Mytilus edulis: one gene and its partner. The protein of the gene in region 2 interacts with the protein of the main gene of each other region in a biochemical or structural test. Links are inferred from orthologs where the notes say so. Each region holds a gene or a part of one and is shown on either strand. Other genes may lie near its edges.

Region 1 (7,892 bases), on a different chromosome or scaffold from region 2:
AAGGACGCCTCCGGGTGCGGGAATTTCTCGCTACATTGAAGACCTGTTGGTGACCCTCTGCTGTTGTTTTTTATTTGGTCGGGTTGTTGTCTCTTTGACACATTCCCCATTTCCATTCTCAATTTTATGTATATGTTCCTGTGATAATCTAAGGATTAGTTTTTAAAATCAACCATTACAAAATTATGCATAAGCCTAATGTTGGCAGTTATTATTTGTAAAACAACCAACCATTTCAGATAAATTGGAATCATTTTGAGAGATGAAAATAAAATCATTGTTACTCATTTGGTATGATGAACAGGGTTGGCAAAAACCCGGGTTTTATGAGTATTGCCCAGCCCAGTGGGAAATACTGGGAAAACCCGGGTTTTATTGGGTTTTAGTGGGTAATACTGGGTAATATAAAATATTTGTCTGAATTTTAAAGAGGATTCAGAGATAAACACAAATGCAATACATTTAATAAGATATTTATACCCCATTTTGTTTGTTTAGCATTTGTCTAGATTGGCAAACTGTAAATAGAAAGCAAGTAAACCATTTTTTTTCAAATGAATATAGCTCCTATTAAGAATTGCATGTATTAAAGAAACATCACATTTAAATAATGTATATGTACTGTCACTAATTTAATAAGTAATTATTCAGATTAGAACACAGATTTGTTTATGTAACAATAATTAGTCCTTTCAATTTTATAAGTGTTAATGGCATGACCCTGTAGGGTGTTTATTTAGCAATATGAATGTATAACAATTAAAATTAACAATTCACTTAACCCTTTCGCCGATGAGTCCCGGTTTACCGGGATTCACGCTTCAGACAGCTGACGATGAGTCCCGTTTTACCGGGATCGGAATACCTCTTTTATATTTCCCGCTCAAAACAGTGCAAACATGAGTTATCTTTCTTTGATGAATACCCGGATGAAAGTGTAAACATGGCGCTTCCGTTTGTTGAAAACCGTGTCAAAATCAGACGAAATTTACGGAATTTACAAGAATTTGAAATGAGGGAACATTTTTTTTGAAAGAATATGGAAGAATTGAAGCCAAACTAGTATACTTTTTTGACATAAAATGTCGTTTTATGTACAAAACATTTGGAATGGACATCGTTCAGTGCGAGGAATTTGTACAGCCTCATAAAATTTTTCAATTTATGCCGTTTTGGGTTAAAAAATTACGATTTGGGGTCTTAGAGCAGAATTTTGAGAATTTCACCTAGATAATGCCGAAAATTTGAAAATTTGAATATTTTATGAAGAATAAATTATCAAAACATGAACAAAACTGTGAACATGATGTTAGTGAATGAAATAAATACATACCTGCCAACTTTTGAAAATGGCCATGGGGGTTTTTGTGCGCGGCACCATTTTTGAGGGTAGAATTTTTCGCGCCATTTTTTCGTGTGATGATTTGGCTCCTAAAAGTGGCTGACATACTTCTTTTTTGGGGGGTGATAGTTGAAGATGCTGTTATATTAACCCATCTTTTTTAAATTGTTTGATTGTTGTATTCTTTTTGTTGAGATAAACACCAGTAAGATGACTTTATGTTTGTCTGATACATTGTCAAGAAATTAAAAAAGTAATAATTTTAATAATTTGATAACAAAAAAACAACAATATATTATATAGATCAATATCACAAGTTGTAATGTCAAACAGTCTTGGTGATGTGTTGTGCGTTGAATGACTTCTGGTGAAGAGCAGTACTAGAATGTTTGGAGACATCATTAAGGCCACCGTGGTCAACTGTAAAGTCTCTGTTGCAAACTTTACAAAAGGCATGTAGCAATCCTAACGTTGATTTAGACAACCAGCCCCTGTACTTGACATTATTCTCCCAAATCAAGTATTTGCACGAAGCAACACGATTTTTCTTCTTAGGCGGTGACAGAACCATTTTGCAAGTGATAACTTTTGATAAACAACTAAAAATACCTAACAATCTTTGATTCTTTGATTGTTTACTATGCCGACATTAATCAACTGGTGAATGCGTGATCACTAAATTTTGATTGGATGAAATTTGCCAGACACGATTTGTCTCCCTTGGGAAAACTTTTCAAAAGTTCAAAATCGGGAACAAAAATATTTTTCGTGTAAATATTACTAAAATCGTGTTTTTTGGCTATTTTCACGATCACGATCGTGTAATCGGGACAGAGGGTCAAAATCGTGTAGTACACGCCTAAATCGTGAAAGTTGGCAGGTATGTAAATACACAAATAACTACAAACAAGTTTTTATTGACATTTATTATGAAGATCTCCCACTTGAGTAATAGTAGCCAGGGAAGCCATCGTCTCAGAGTAGCTTCTGTCTGGGCAGCAATCGGTGAAAGGGTTAAACACTGCAATAAGATGCATTTTTCAAAGTTTGGATTATTGAAACAATACTTGGTAATCATGGTAATTAAAAGGTATCTTTTAATGTGCACTATTCTGCCTACATATAACATTTCTAGAGAAGAGAATGAAATTGAATTTTCTAGAAATGACTGTCAATGGTTATCTGTATAAAAAGGATATATTTAGCTGTTATACTATGAAACTATAACAAGTCTTTACTATTTTGTGTATAAATAAGCTTAAAAAATCATATTGCCCAGTAATGCCCACTATCACCATGATCACCCATTTCTGGGAGTATTGCCCAGCCCGGGAAAACGGGGGTGTTTTCCCGGTGGGTAATACTTTGCCAACCTTGATGATGAACCTTATATACCAGAGGCAGAGTAAATAAAAACACACAAAAACATGTACGATTTTCTATGCATGTTTTTTACCGACTGCAATAAAACTTGATCCAAGTGGAAACATTCTCCCCCACACTTCTGCATTGTCTTCATTTTCTTCGCTGTCAACTCCATCAATGAAATCCGAAGGGACTGTTTGCATATTATCATGAATATCCATGTCTTAATTTTTTCTGTTTACAGTTGCACAAGCGGACCGGCAACACACATGCGCATCATCTAAATCGTTAGAGTGATTTAAATTAAAATATATAATATAAGAGTCGTATATCGAGTCAATTGAATTTCCGGATTGTGTTATTTTTTAAAAGAAATTTAGAATTAGGTAATTTAAAAAAAAAAGAGTCTAAGAACATGCCCCCACCTAAGGCCGTGTTCACATTGACCTAAACTCGGTGTTGTGTAAGTGTAACTCACACGTAAACTAAACAAAATTACGTTCCCATTGATAAAATTCAATGTTTACATGTAGTGTAAAACATGTTTTGTCTACATGCAGTCGATACTCGATGTAGGCCTTGTGTATATTAAGTGTACACAAAACTAGGCATTTAAAACATTAGTTTCACCGTGTATATTTAAGGAAGAAACAATTTTTGAATAAAATTGATATTTATAACAGTTATTAATAAAGTTCTTTACAGAAATATTTGTCTAAACTTGATATATTTATTTGGGTATTTTTAAACTTAACGTAGCTTTATTGAAGCCCTTATCAAGACTCAAAGCAGCATCATTGCCGAACACAAAATTCATTTGAAAATTAAGGTCTTTCCGAATCGACTTGACTTGTACAGAAATGTTTGCCACTGGTCTTTACTGAAACAACGATTCACTCATAAATGCATTACTTAAAAAGTGTGAGGTAAATGTATTGTTTGTCTAGTACATGTATCTCGGATCCGTTAAATTACTCTTAAAACTAAAAAAAAACATTACCCCCTCCCTTTGTCAAATACTCCTTGGAGAAGAAATACCATTTGAAACAAACAGAAAAGATAGGAATAATATGGTGATCCCTAATATATCATTTCCTCTTCTCCTTCAATCTCTGTACCGATGTAATGCATTGGCTTTATGAGATAAAATATATATATTTTTCGCCTGTAAGCACGCTGCTGCAGCCTACGTTTTCTAATGCTAAATCGAGACATCTTTATTATTTTTAAACTACTGCAAATCATCAAAATGGCTTTCATAAAGAAGCAGCCACTTGACTTAAAAAAAAAAGGGAGGGGTATTTTGTTAATTAATCTGAGCCAGAAATTTTTCCGCGCAAACGTTTTATTCCGGGGTTTTTTCGATGCTGGTAATCAATTTTTTTTTCAACATTTAACGCTATAATGTATGGGGAAACTCTTGATTTAGAATATTTTTGTATCATCGGTAGGACCTTTTTTTTTTTATCCAATTGGGGTTCGAAATATTTCCATCGAGACCCCCGTCCCCGATTTGAAGTCAAATGGTCGTTCCCTTACTGCTAGAAAAGTTTCCGAAAACTTTGCATTCGGTTCAACGTAATGAACATTTAAATAACATAGAGTTTACAAGTGTGATCAAATCTTATGTACAGGTAATTAAACAAGGTGTATAGATGTGAACAAATTTAATGTGAAACCAATGTCCAGTACATTAAACTAATTGTAAACAAGTTTATTATACATGGCGTTTGGTGTGAACACGGCCTAAGATGAGTCGCTGATTCATAAAAAAATGTTTTAAAAAGAAGGTTTAGAAGGAGACATTCAAGCACCAGCTATAGTTTATTTTTACACACATTTATCATTTGAACTCAGTTGGAAAACAGATATATAATATCATTACACATATATGTTACATATGAATTTTGTGGATATTCGAAAATCAAATTTCGAAAATAATACTTAAAATGAATAAACAAATTAAAACACAAATTTTTGCGATTTTATTCAAACTTCAAGTCCTTGCAAAGCATTTTTTTTCGTTCAGAAAAAAAATTCCTAGATTCAAGATTCAAGATTGAAAGTTTTATTTAGAGTCGATATTCAATAAACTACATAACACAAGCTCTAGTGAGCTTTTCAAATCGACTTAACAAGTAACTATATACAGTGCTTAGTGGAAATACGATCTACTGGGCATTTTAATTTGCAAAATAACTGGATATATTACACGATGGATGAATTTTCTAATTATTGTTTGTGTACAAATGGCGCCGGTCAGTATGTCAACAACTTGATGACGAGTAATGGACATGTGCCTGTAAGTACTTTTAATTATAACATTGCTTCACCAAGCGAAAGAAAACACCAATCAGATCAAATGGCTGAACACTTCATCGAATCTGATAATATAAACAAGAAAAGTAGATGTGATTTGAGCTACTCGAGTGCACCCTCGGCGATTGATAGCGAAAATTCCCAAAATAGACTTGAATATTTAATTCTTCAATTGTCGGCAAATTTTACATCTATGAGTATAAGCTTAGAAAAAAGAATTGATGACCTCAAAACTAACATGGAGGAAAAAATATCAGTAAAAGTGTCCGAAAGAATTATGGTTCATCATAACCTTTTGGCTAAAATGGCCGTATTTACACCCCAAATTTTACTCTGAGTACAGACTAACCTATACACCTGCAACAGTTTTAAGGGATGGCAGGAACTAGATATATAAATTTTAAATGCATTTTGTGTTTCAGAAAATTATAAACTTTTCTAGATTTTGCTATCCATTTTTTTTTTCGTTCCTGCAGAAGGTGCAAAAATTAACTAAGTAGTGAAAACGATTGAGAAGCTCCCCTCATATAATCAATGTTGTGAGTAGTATTGATTTAAATGGACAATAGATGGACAATAGACACCTGTAAACAATAGGTGATTTAACAGGTTTAAACTGTGTAAGTGAGTGGACCGTATCAAATGAAACTCTGGTGTTTATTTATTTGCTCTCTTCTGCAGACTGGAAAAAAAAATGAACATCAAAATCCAGGTAAGTGTTTAATTTTCTGAAACGTAGACTTTATATAACTTTTATATATCTAGTTCCTGCCATGCCTTAAAACTTTCCTGGATGTACCAGTTTGTCTGTACTCATAGTAATTTTGGAGGTGTAAACACGGCCATATTTTTCAATTCCTTATGATGAACCTTAAGCCGTTGGAAACGAGGAACTTCCAAAATGCGATGAGGACCGTTTTGAAAGAAATGAGAAAAGACAAAGACTATAAATTTGCAGGAAGTCGACTCTTAGCTAAGCGCACATAGGATGCAGTGCGGCTTGCGGTATGGAACTGCAGGGGATGGTCTACAAAATCGAACGAAAATTCAATTTTCCGGGAAAAAGTTTTAAACTACATTAACTGTGATATAATTGGAATTTGTGAAACATTTTTACGTGGAAATGAACGCCTGCACGTTCATGGTTTTAGATTTTATGGAAATAATAGGAAAGCATTGCATAAACTTGCCACTCGCAGCTCAGCAGTAGTAGGGGCATTTGTGAAAAACAATATAGCGGATATGTTTGATATACATGTTTTAGATGAGGAGGAAGAGGGAGTATTATGGTTGCAAGACTATGCTTTTGTGTTGCAATATGTTATTTGCAGATTCATGTCAACCTGTGGATTCGGACGTATTTTTATGTCCCACCTACGATAGTAGAGGGGCATTATGTTTTCTGGTCTGTGCGTCCGTCCGTCCGTCCTTCCGTCCATTCGTTCAAGTTAAAGTTTTTGGTCAAGGTAGTTTTTGATGAAGTTGAAGTCCAATCAACTTCAAACTTAGTACACATGTTCCCTATGATATGATCTTTCTAATTTAATTGATTTAGTTTTGACCCCAATTTCACGGTCTACTGAACATAGAAAATGATAATGCGAGTGGGGCATCCGTGTACTATGGACACATTCTTGTTTCGAAATCTATTACATCAGGTTTATTCTTATCAACACAAAGGGAAAATATTTATTTGTGGCGATTTTAACTCTCGTGTAGGATCACACTCCGATTATATTGAAGGTGTTGATCTAGTTAAACCAAGGAATTATATTTGATCATACAGAAAATCATCATGGAGATGTGTTTATTAATTTTTTAAGTGACGTTAATTTCGGCATGCTAAATGGGCGATTTAATGATAACCAATTTACCTGTGTTTCTACAACTGGAAAATCTGTAGTAGATTATATATGTGTTCCTTACGAAGATATGGAAAATATTGAAGACTTCAAAATAGTTCAAATGTCAGATATAATCAATAATATTTCATACATTCCTGATAGTATTCCGGATCACTCAGTATTATATTGTGATGTGAATTTATCTATTAATTTAAAAAGGAATATGGATATGAATAAAAGTGAGAATAATGCTAGATATAAGCATAATGTTTCATCTGTGCCAAATGATTTCTTGCTAAATGAGAATATATTTCATAAAGTACTGGAAGCTATTCAGAAAATAGAAAATTATATTGAAGTATATCAAGTGATGTTCAAAATGCCTACGACGAATTCCAATCTTTAATTAAATGTGAAATGGACACAACAAGTTACCTGTTTATAATAGTTCAAGTGGGGATAAACGAAAGAAGTCACGTTTTATACCTTATTGGAATGATAGTCTAGCTCGTCAATGGAGTAAAGCAGCTGAAAAGAAGTGGTTACGTTACACTGGACCAACATCTTTAAAGCAAAAATATAAAAAAAGAATACTGTTCCGAAAGAAAAACTTTTGACTGTCTTAACCGAAAATTTAAAAGGAAATATCAAGCCAATGAACGACATATTACTGAAAATAAATTGTGTGAAACCAATCAGCGTGATTTCTGGAAATCTATTGGTAAATTGGGTATTGCCAACGAGCGTAAACCGTGTATTCCAATGGCAATTGTTGATGAGAACGGTTCAGTTAACAAACAGAAGCGATGTTATGAATGTTATGAAGTGGAAGACCGATTTTCATTCATTATTTAAGCGAAAAACCGGTGTCGAAACGGAACTTGATTCTGCGAACTTTAATATTGAAATTGATGTATCTACGCTTAATGCATCTATTTCCAGAGCTGAGGTTCTCGATGTAGTCATACGTGCCATATCACGGAAAGCTACAGGAATTGACGACATCCCGGTAGAAGTATTAA
Region 2 (7,675 bases):
ATGCACATAACAAAATGTATCATATATGGTTCTAAAGAATACACTTTCAATCCATAGGTTTTGATAAGTATTGAAAATCAAAATGCACTTTACATGAGAAATAAAAGTTTTAATTTTCCAAAAGCTAGGAAAACAATATAATATAATAACTAAATTTTATTATGTTGAGTCTTATAACTTCTCCTCCTTCAAGTCTCATTGATTTACTTACTTTGAAGACATAATCCCAAGTTAACTGTTCATCAGAACTTCCAGCATTCTTACTGTCTGTATATCTATCCAACGCTTTGATAACAGTACTCTTACACAGTAACTGACGAAATTTCTCTGCACTTTTCTAAAATAATGAAACCAAACCAGGTCATTTGTAAAGAAGTTAAAGGAAATAACAATCCTAATTTATAACATAAACACCTTTCTTGTAGAAATAACAATCCTAATTTATAACATAAACACCTATCTTGTAGAAATAACAATCCTAATTTATAACATAAACACCTTTCTTGTAGGTACTAACACCCTGAATAATATAGTTTACAAACAGAAGGTGGAGTTAACTGGGGGTGACATCATGTGTTCATCCTTCATTATATTATGTGGACTTACAGTGGAAAACAATGCTTTACCCCAGCATTTTGTTTCAATTGATGAGTGTGAAATCAAATGTAACTTGCACTGAGTATGGCTGTGTATTCTGGTCTATTTCATTAAAAAAATCCTAGTTTATGAACCTTTCGTTCAATTTAGAGGTGTGGTGCCCCTCAATTTACCTATCACTGGGAGTTGGGATATCACACTTTTTGAAATAACTTAGGGTTCAGTTAATTCAAAAAAAAAGATTTACAAACATAATATAGTTGTTGTATAAAAAGATACAAACCTTTCTTTCTGTTATTTTTTCTAACAACAGTCCACGACAGCAGGAAATCACATCTGATAAGCTATCCATTTTTTCATGTTAATGATATGCAATTCTAAATTGAAATAAATGGTTAAGATTATTACCAAGTTATTAAAATATTTTTTTTTTATAATTGAAAAACATTCAGTGAGCAAGCTCTATAAATTTGTTTATAAAGAGTAACAGCTTATAGCTTAAACCACAAAGCAAAGAAATACAAGTAAAACTTATAACTATGAGGGACAAATAAATATATCCATCAATTGTGATATCTGCTTTCTCTCTCAGCATTGGTTTTGGAATAAATAATCAATAGCAGAAAATGATATGTTGATAAAACTTAGTTAATTATATATGTTTACATACATGTACAATTTTCTTATACCTTGGCTTAGAAAAATAGATGGAAAACAGTGTACTTTAAAATTGAATAGCTGTAACTGTATAGTATCATAACTATTTGTTATAACTGGGAAGAAAAAACACAATCACTAAAGCTACACACAACAACTAGAAGGCACACATAATTTTAAATGAATATAATTTACCAGCAAAATTCAGTGCATGTAAAGTCTGCATACAAAAATAAAGAGGTGCAAATTCTATGATTTAACTAGTTTAATAAATAGTTTTGTCCATGTTAGGGAATGACTATTTCACTTCCAGGGGGGTTATCATGGTTATTGTTTTTTTTCTATCTCCACATTGATGTAAAAAATAGTGATCGAGCAGATGACAAAAAAATTATTCTTAATGCAAATTCCTCCCATATCATCTGATCATATGGCTGAACATGCATGTTAAAGTACATATATTTTACAAGTTTTAACCTCTTTCTTCTATGCCTATGGTCTGATCATTTGTTTTCATACATAATATGAATTTGTACTATGAATGCTTTTTCAATAGAAATTGTGACGTCACAATGCATTTTTAATACCACGAAAACCCATGAGATGAGGATACATTTTACCATTTGTAATACATTTTTCATAATTAAACACTCCAATTTTGTCCCTATTGACATTGTAACCGGAGAGCATAAGTTTCATTACAAAATTGCTTGTCTCCACCGTGACTCGAACCGATGACCTCTGCCTTACAAGACAATGTGCTAACCGATTGAGCTAAAGAAGTACTTCCTTAGCTCAACCGCTTATAGAATATCTACCGCATTTTCTAAGGGAAGCAATCCTGTCACACTTCCCCAACCTCACGAGTCATCATACCATTATGACTCTCACACACATTACCCTAGCTAGAATTCCTCTCTAACTTATGTGGGTTTTTTAGCTGGGCGCCAATGTAACCGGAGAGCATGATTGATTGTTGGTTGCTTTACGCCGCATTAGCACAAAAAGGCTATATCGTGGCGTCCGGAGTGCATGAATTTCATTACAAAATTGCTTGTCTCCACCTGGAATCGAACCCCGAGACCTCTGTGTTACAATGCAGTGTGTTAACCGACTGGGCTAAAGAAGTACTTCCTTAGCTCAACCACTTATGGCTGACTAAGTATCTATACCACATTTTCTAAAGGAAGCAATACACCTTATCTCTATTAGCCTTATCGGCCGGCTGAACCAGCCGCTTGAACTTTTGACGCATACAACAATCACTTTTCCATTGTGGCTTCAGATATTTTATTTTATGACGTCAAAATTTTACGGGAACCAGTGTGATATCCAGTAATGGCGGACAAATAACGATAAGGTGTATCCCGTCAAAATAGTAATAGTATAATTTGTTCCTGTGTAATCTATTCAGCAGTTTGCACTTGATTTATGAAGGGTGAGATTGTCTCTGTAACTCTGTGACAACAGAAAAAATAAAAAATGAAAATAAGTCAAGGAATGATTGAGGGCACTGACTCAGTGACTGAGGCAGTGCTGGCCTGTCTCTTTAAAAGACTTAAAACCGAAAGACCCTTCTTCTTCTTGCTTTTTCATACATGTCAGGAAAGGGGAAAATAATCTTAACAGTGTCATAAAGCAACCTAAAGTATTTAGTAATTCATTTTTAAAATACCGTTGAATAATTAGAGAAACACCAATCATTTTGAAAATGCCTCCAAAACTCAAAAACAGACGATTTTTTTTCCTACATTTTTCGGGTCTTTTCATCAAACAAATGGATAAAGCTACAAATTCCGAAAAACGGAAGTTAAGTTTGACCGTACAAACTAAATGATAACTACTTTGGCATTTTACATTATAACAAGAAAACATATTATTTTCTTCCGCAGTTTTACATCAAACCAATCTTCATTGAACTTTTAAATTTGACTTGATCGTTTATCACAATTGTAAAGTTTTATTTGAGACCTGTTATCATCTAGGTTCTTCACCGGTCACTGCGCATGTTACCGAAACCTTGATAGCAACCATTCCTAACTGGACCTGTTTGAAACGAGATTGAAGAACAACATCAGACATCATGACAACTTACAGGGTATACTTTATTTCAAAATTGGCGTAAAATAGTCTTCTTCTCTGTTTAAATAACCGTATAGTTTCAATGGACGAACTTGAATCAAATACAGTAAAACTAATTAAAAACTAAAGGTGACCCAGGACAGATTTTTCAATCTTTTCTGAATAATTCTGTTTAAAGTCATATATTGCAAATTAGTTTGACTGTTATTCTATTCTTGTTAAAATATTGGAATAAAGTATAAAAGATGTGTTTTGGTAATTAGAAGAAAAAGATAATGGGATAAGTTTGTTATGAAAAAAGGAATGTCTTACAAATTCAAGGAAGTTATATCCCAGCTTAAATTAATGTTGCGGTGCAGTCCGGTGTATCTGCACACCTAAGACTTTTGACTTCACTTCATTCAACAAATAAAACCAAAAATTGGATAAAATTGTGTGAACACTTCATAACATACTTTTATTTTATAAAATCTTCTGTTTGTATGGTTTCATCCTCAGAATTTTTAGTAATGTGTGTCCAAAATTAGGGAATCCCCTTTTCTGAGAGTTCCTCCAATGTCTGGTGATTTCTCGCATGCCTTACAAAAATAGGTTATTTTGAATAAAAGAAAGATTTTATACTACTAAATGTAGCTGAATTTGAACCAAACAGTGAAACACACTGCCAAAGATGCCAATGGATGCAGAGCAAAAAATTATTTCATATCATAATTAAATTTGACTTAGGTAAAACAAATTTTATCTGATGATGTATTTTTTTAATGGAAATTGACCAAATATGGTAAATCAAGGAATTGCAGTTATTAATGAACTCTTGAACTTATCAATTTTATTCTTTTTTTTTCCCTTCAGAAGGCTTAAACAATAACAAGAATGATTTTATTTATATTAATGTGTTGATATGATGAAATCAGCTAATGTGCGATATCACAGGCTGTGGGGACTCCACTGTTAGTGTAAAGTCAGTTGTGGTCTCCAATTTTTCAGAATCAAAGTAAAAGACTATAGAGGTATAGGGGAAGGGTTACGATCTCATAGACCTGTTTAACCCTGCCGCTATTTTGGGCCTGTCCCAAGTCAGGAGCCTCTGGCCTTTGTTAGTCCTGTATGATTTTTAATTTTAGTTTCTTACGTATTATTCAGAGTTTAGTATGAGGTCCATTCTCACTGTACTAGTATACATATTTTTTAAGGGGCCAGCTGAAGGACGCCTCCGTGTGCGGGAGTTTCTCGCTACATTGAAGATTCATTGGTGGCCTTTGGCTGTTATCTGCTCTATGGTTGGGTTGTTGTCTTTTAAATCATTCCCCATTTCCTTTCTCAATTTTATGTGTAATTTTATTGTGAGTACAACAAAATTGAAAAGATGTTCAAGTCAATCAGTCTGCACCAAAACTTTACCAACTTCTACTACATTTACTTCTTCTAATCCAAAGACTTAACGGAAAAGACCAATATTTTGCCATTTTTCATTATGTGTCTGAACAATGTTTTGCAAATACTTGCTAGTCCAAATAGAATTGTTCTAGTCTGGGACATTGGATCAGTGGCGAACGGTATAGACAGTCATTGTTTAGGATGTTTTGAACAAATTATAGCAATTGAGTGTACTGTTAGATTTTGAAAGTATAATTCGACAGAAAGAATTACTCCATTAGATTCTGACACAGCAGCGACAAGAAGACAAGTTTAGCAACTAGAAGTCAAATCTAGCATCACACAATTTTATAGTCTTATTCAAACAAATAATGTTAAAAAAAAAATACAAACTTAATGAATTTAAGTTTAGTTTTTATGGCCCCGCCACTAAGTGGTCGGGACATATAGTTTTACCCCTGTCTGAAATTCCAAAATTCCGTCATTCCACAACAAACCATTATACAGAGTTTTTTTTGAAAACCGCTTCAGATATTGGGCTGATCTTTGGAATATAAGTTCTCCATGATGAGTTACAGATCAAGTTTAAGTTTTGTTCTGCTTCGCTAATTTTTGACAAAATTATGGGCTTTGGACTTTGATAAATTGTTGAAAATCACAGTTATACAGACTTTTTTTCTAAACACTTTCAGATATTGGGATGATTTTTTGGTTTGTGAGTTATTCATAAGTTACAGATCAAGTTTAAGTTTCGCTGCTCTGCTAATTTTTGCTGTAATTTTTGGCTTTGGACTTTAATAAAATTTTGAAAATCGCTGTTATACAGACTTTTTTTCTAAACGCTTTCAGATATTGGGCTGATTTTTGGTATGTGGCTAACAATGATGAGTTACAGATCAAGTTTAAGTTTTGTTCCACTCCGCTAATTTTTTCTAAAATTAAGGGTTTACAACTTTTTTCTATACGCCTCCAGATTTTTAGCTGATTCTTTTATATGTGAGACTACCATCATGTTTGTGTCCACATGTGTAATTGAAATTGCAGATTTTTCAATTTTTGGAGATGGGGCCATTCGTGTCGCTTTGACACATCTACATGTAGTTTGTGTATATATAAAGCATATCAACATGATCAATGATATATAAACTAAAACAAGGAATTATATGAATCAGAATTAATTTAAATTCTGGATAATAGCTCTGGGTCAACATGTACAGTTTATTTTGTATTTATATCAAAACTTATTTAATATGAAAATTTGTAGTCTATTGTGAACATTCTCCTTTCTAAAAAATGTATTCTTCTAAATTATATTTCACCATAAATGCAGAAAAATAGTTTTACTGCCACCATGGTCATGCTGATGTTGAAGGTGGTTTTTAGGTGAAGATTCAAAAGTTCATGAATAATGATACAGTTTCCTTTGAGACTAGACGACTTGTTTCTACAAATTTCTTGCAATGATCACTTATGAAATAAAATTTACACTGTAGGGAGCTGACAGCAAGAGAGAGGAGTTCAGAAAATATTTAGAGAAAGCAGGTGTATTAGATGCCTTAACAAAAGGTATGATGCATAAAATAAATAGACAACTTTCGATTTGGATGCATTTCCGTCAAAAACTCTGGTTTTAGTGAACGTCATTTGTGCGTTTAGGGGCGTCGTCACTTCCATTCCAATGTTGAGCGAGTAGTTGGAAAACTATAATTCTATATTGTACGAATTATTCGGCAAATTGAATTCTCAAAATTGACAATCAGCATTGCTGTCATTAGGGAATTGTCATTAAGTACCTACAGACCAACCATTATTTGTAGTTTATCATGCACTATGACGATCACTAAGACGCTTGATGAACGTAAATGGTGCAGGGATACAGGCGACCCCTCTATCTGTTAAATGACGTCATAAAGGCGCGTATAATTGACAAGTTTTTTCCGGCGAAGGATGAACTTAAAAGTGGTCTTTTAGATTAATACATACTTATTTTTTTTGTTATTTCAATATGCATGTGTATGCTTAAGACTAGTCATTATAAAAACCAATTTAAAATCTGTTAAGTTTACATATGTTATTTAGTAAAAGTAAAATGGATTGGACTCATAATATCAATCAATAATTAAGAGTCAAGCTGTTGAAAAAAATGGCAAAAGTAATAAGTGGAAAATTGGTAATGATGATGCATGGTGTGAAGGAACTGCAAGTACACTATTAGGTACAAATGTACATGTATCATATGACAAGAAATATCTCAGAGTTTTTAATAATTTTTTCTCAAGGTCCATTATGAAGCAGAGATGTCATAATTTTCAGTAGTAAAAGAATTCTGAATTACACATTCAGAAAAAAATGGTTGAAATCTTTTTTCATGTTTATACTGCATGTTATAGAAGGCAGCAAACACAAAGACGCTATTATGTTTGACAGTTGTAATGTCTTTTTATGGTCTTTCTATTATTTCCATACTTCACACATATTTTAAGTATTTCTGTTTGATAAATTTATGTAGTATCAGTATTATGTAATTTATGAATTATCATTTTCTTTTTCAGTTTTGGTTGGGTTGTATGAAGAACCAGAAAAGCCAAATAATGCATTGGAGTATCCTTAAAATAATTCAATGGGCAAATTTGAAATTAATAAATTATACTTATGGTTAATTGAAAACATTAAAACAAAAACATCTACAATCAAATTAAAACACTGATTTTGTTCTCTGTACGTTATTTAAATTCATCTTCGTAACATTCTATGATAGTAAGGGCATTTGATATTGCTTAGTGATGTCTGAGTTAATAAATTAGCATGTCTTTTATCAGGTTAAAGTTTATGTTAAAGGTCCAAGTGTTAAGTGAAGTGGATTTAGTTAGCTATTTATCAAGGTATGTTCTTCAACAATGAGTAAATGCCAAACCATACCTGTATAGCTACCAAAAAAACCTGGCATGACCTTAAATTTGTC

What was found.
Region 1: of the proteins of serine-protein kinase ATM-like (region 2) and serine/threonine-protein kinase Chk2-like, one has a biochemical effect on the other in vitro, tested with the Homo sapiens proteins (6 studies listed by BioGRID, with this or other methods). The link is inferred for Mytilus edulis from reciprocal best matches to the Homo sapiens genes ATM and CHEK2.

The regions. Positions count from the first base shown.
Region 1 is NC_092349.1:15,393,492-15,401,383, forward strand, and holds the start of serine/threonine-protein kinase Chk2-like, read right to left. Parts: upstream 3,001-7,892; 5' UTR 2,929-3,000; coding exon 2,799-2,928; intron 1-2,798. UniProt on the Homo sapiens protein: Serine/threonine-protein kinase which is required for checkpoint-mediated cell cycle arrest, activation of DNA repair and apoptosis in response to the presence of DNA double-strand breaks.
Region 2 is NC_092353.1:10,605,725-10,613,399, forward strand, and holds the start of serine-protein kinase ATM-like, read right to left. Parts: upstream 3,024-7,675; 5' UTR 2,930-3,023; intron 975-2,929; 5' UTR 950-974; coding exon 881-949; intron 338-880; coding exon 212-337; intron 1-211. Other genes in the region: c-Myc-binding protein-like, read left to right, coding at 3,338-3,352, 6,207-6,279, 7,266-7,314.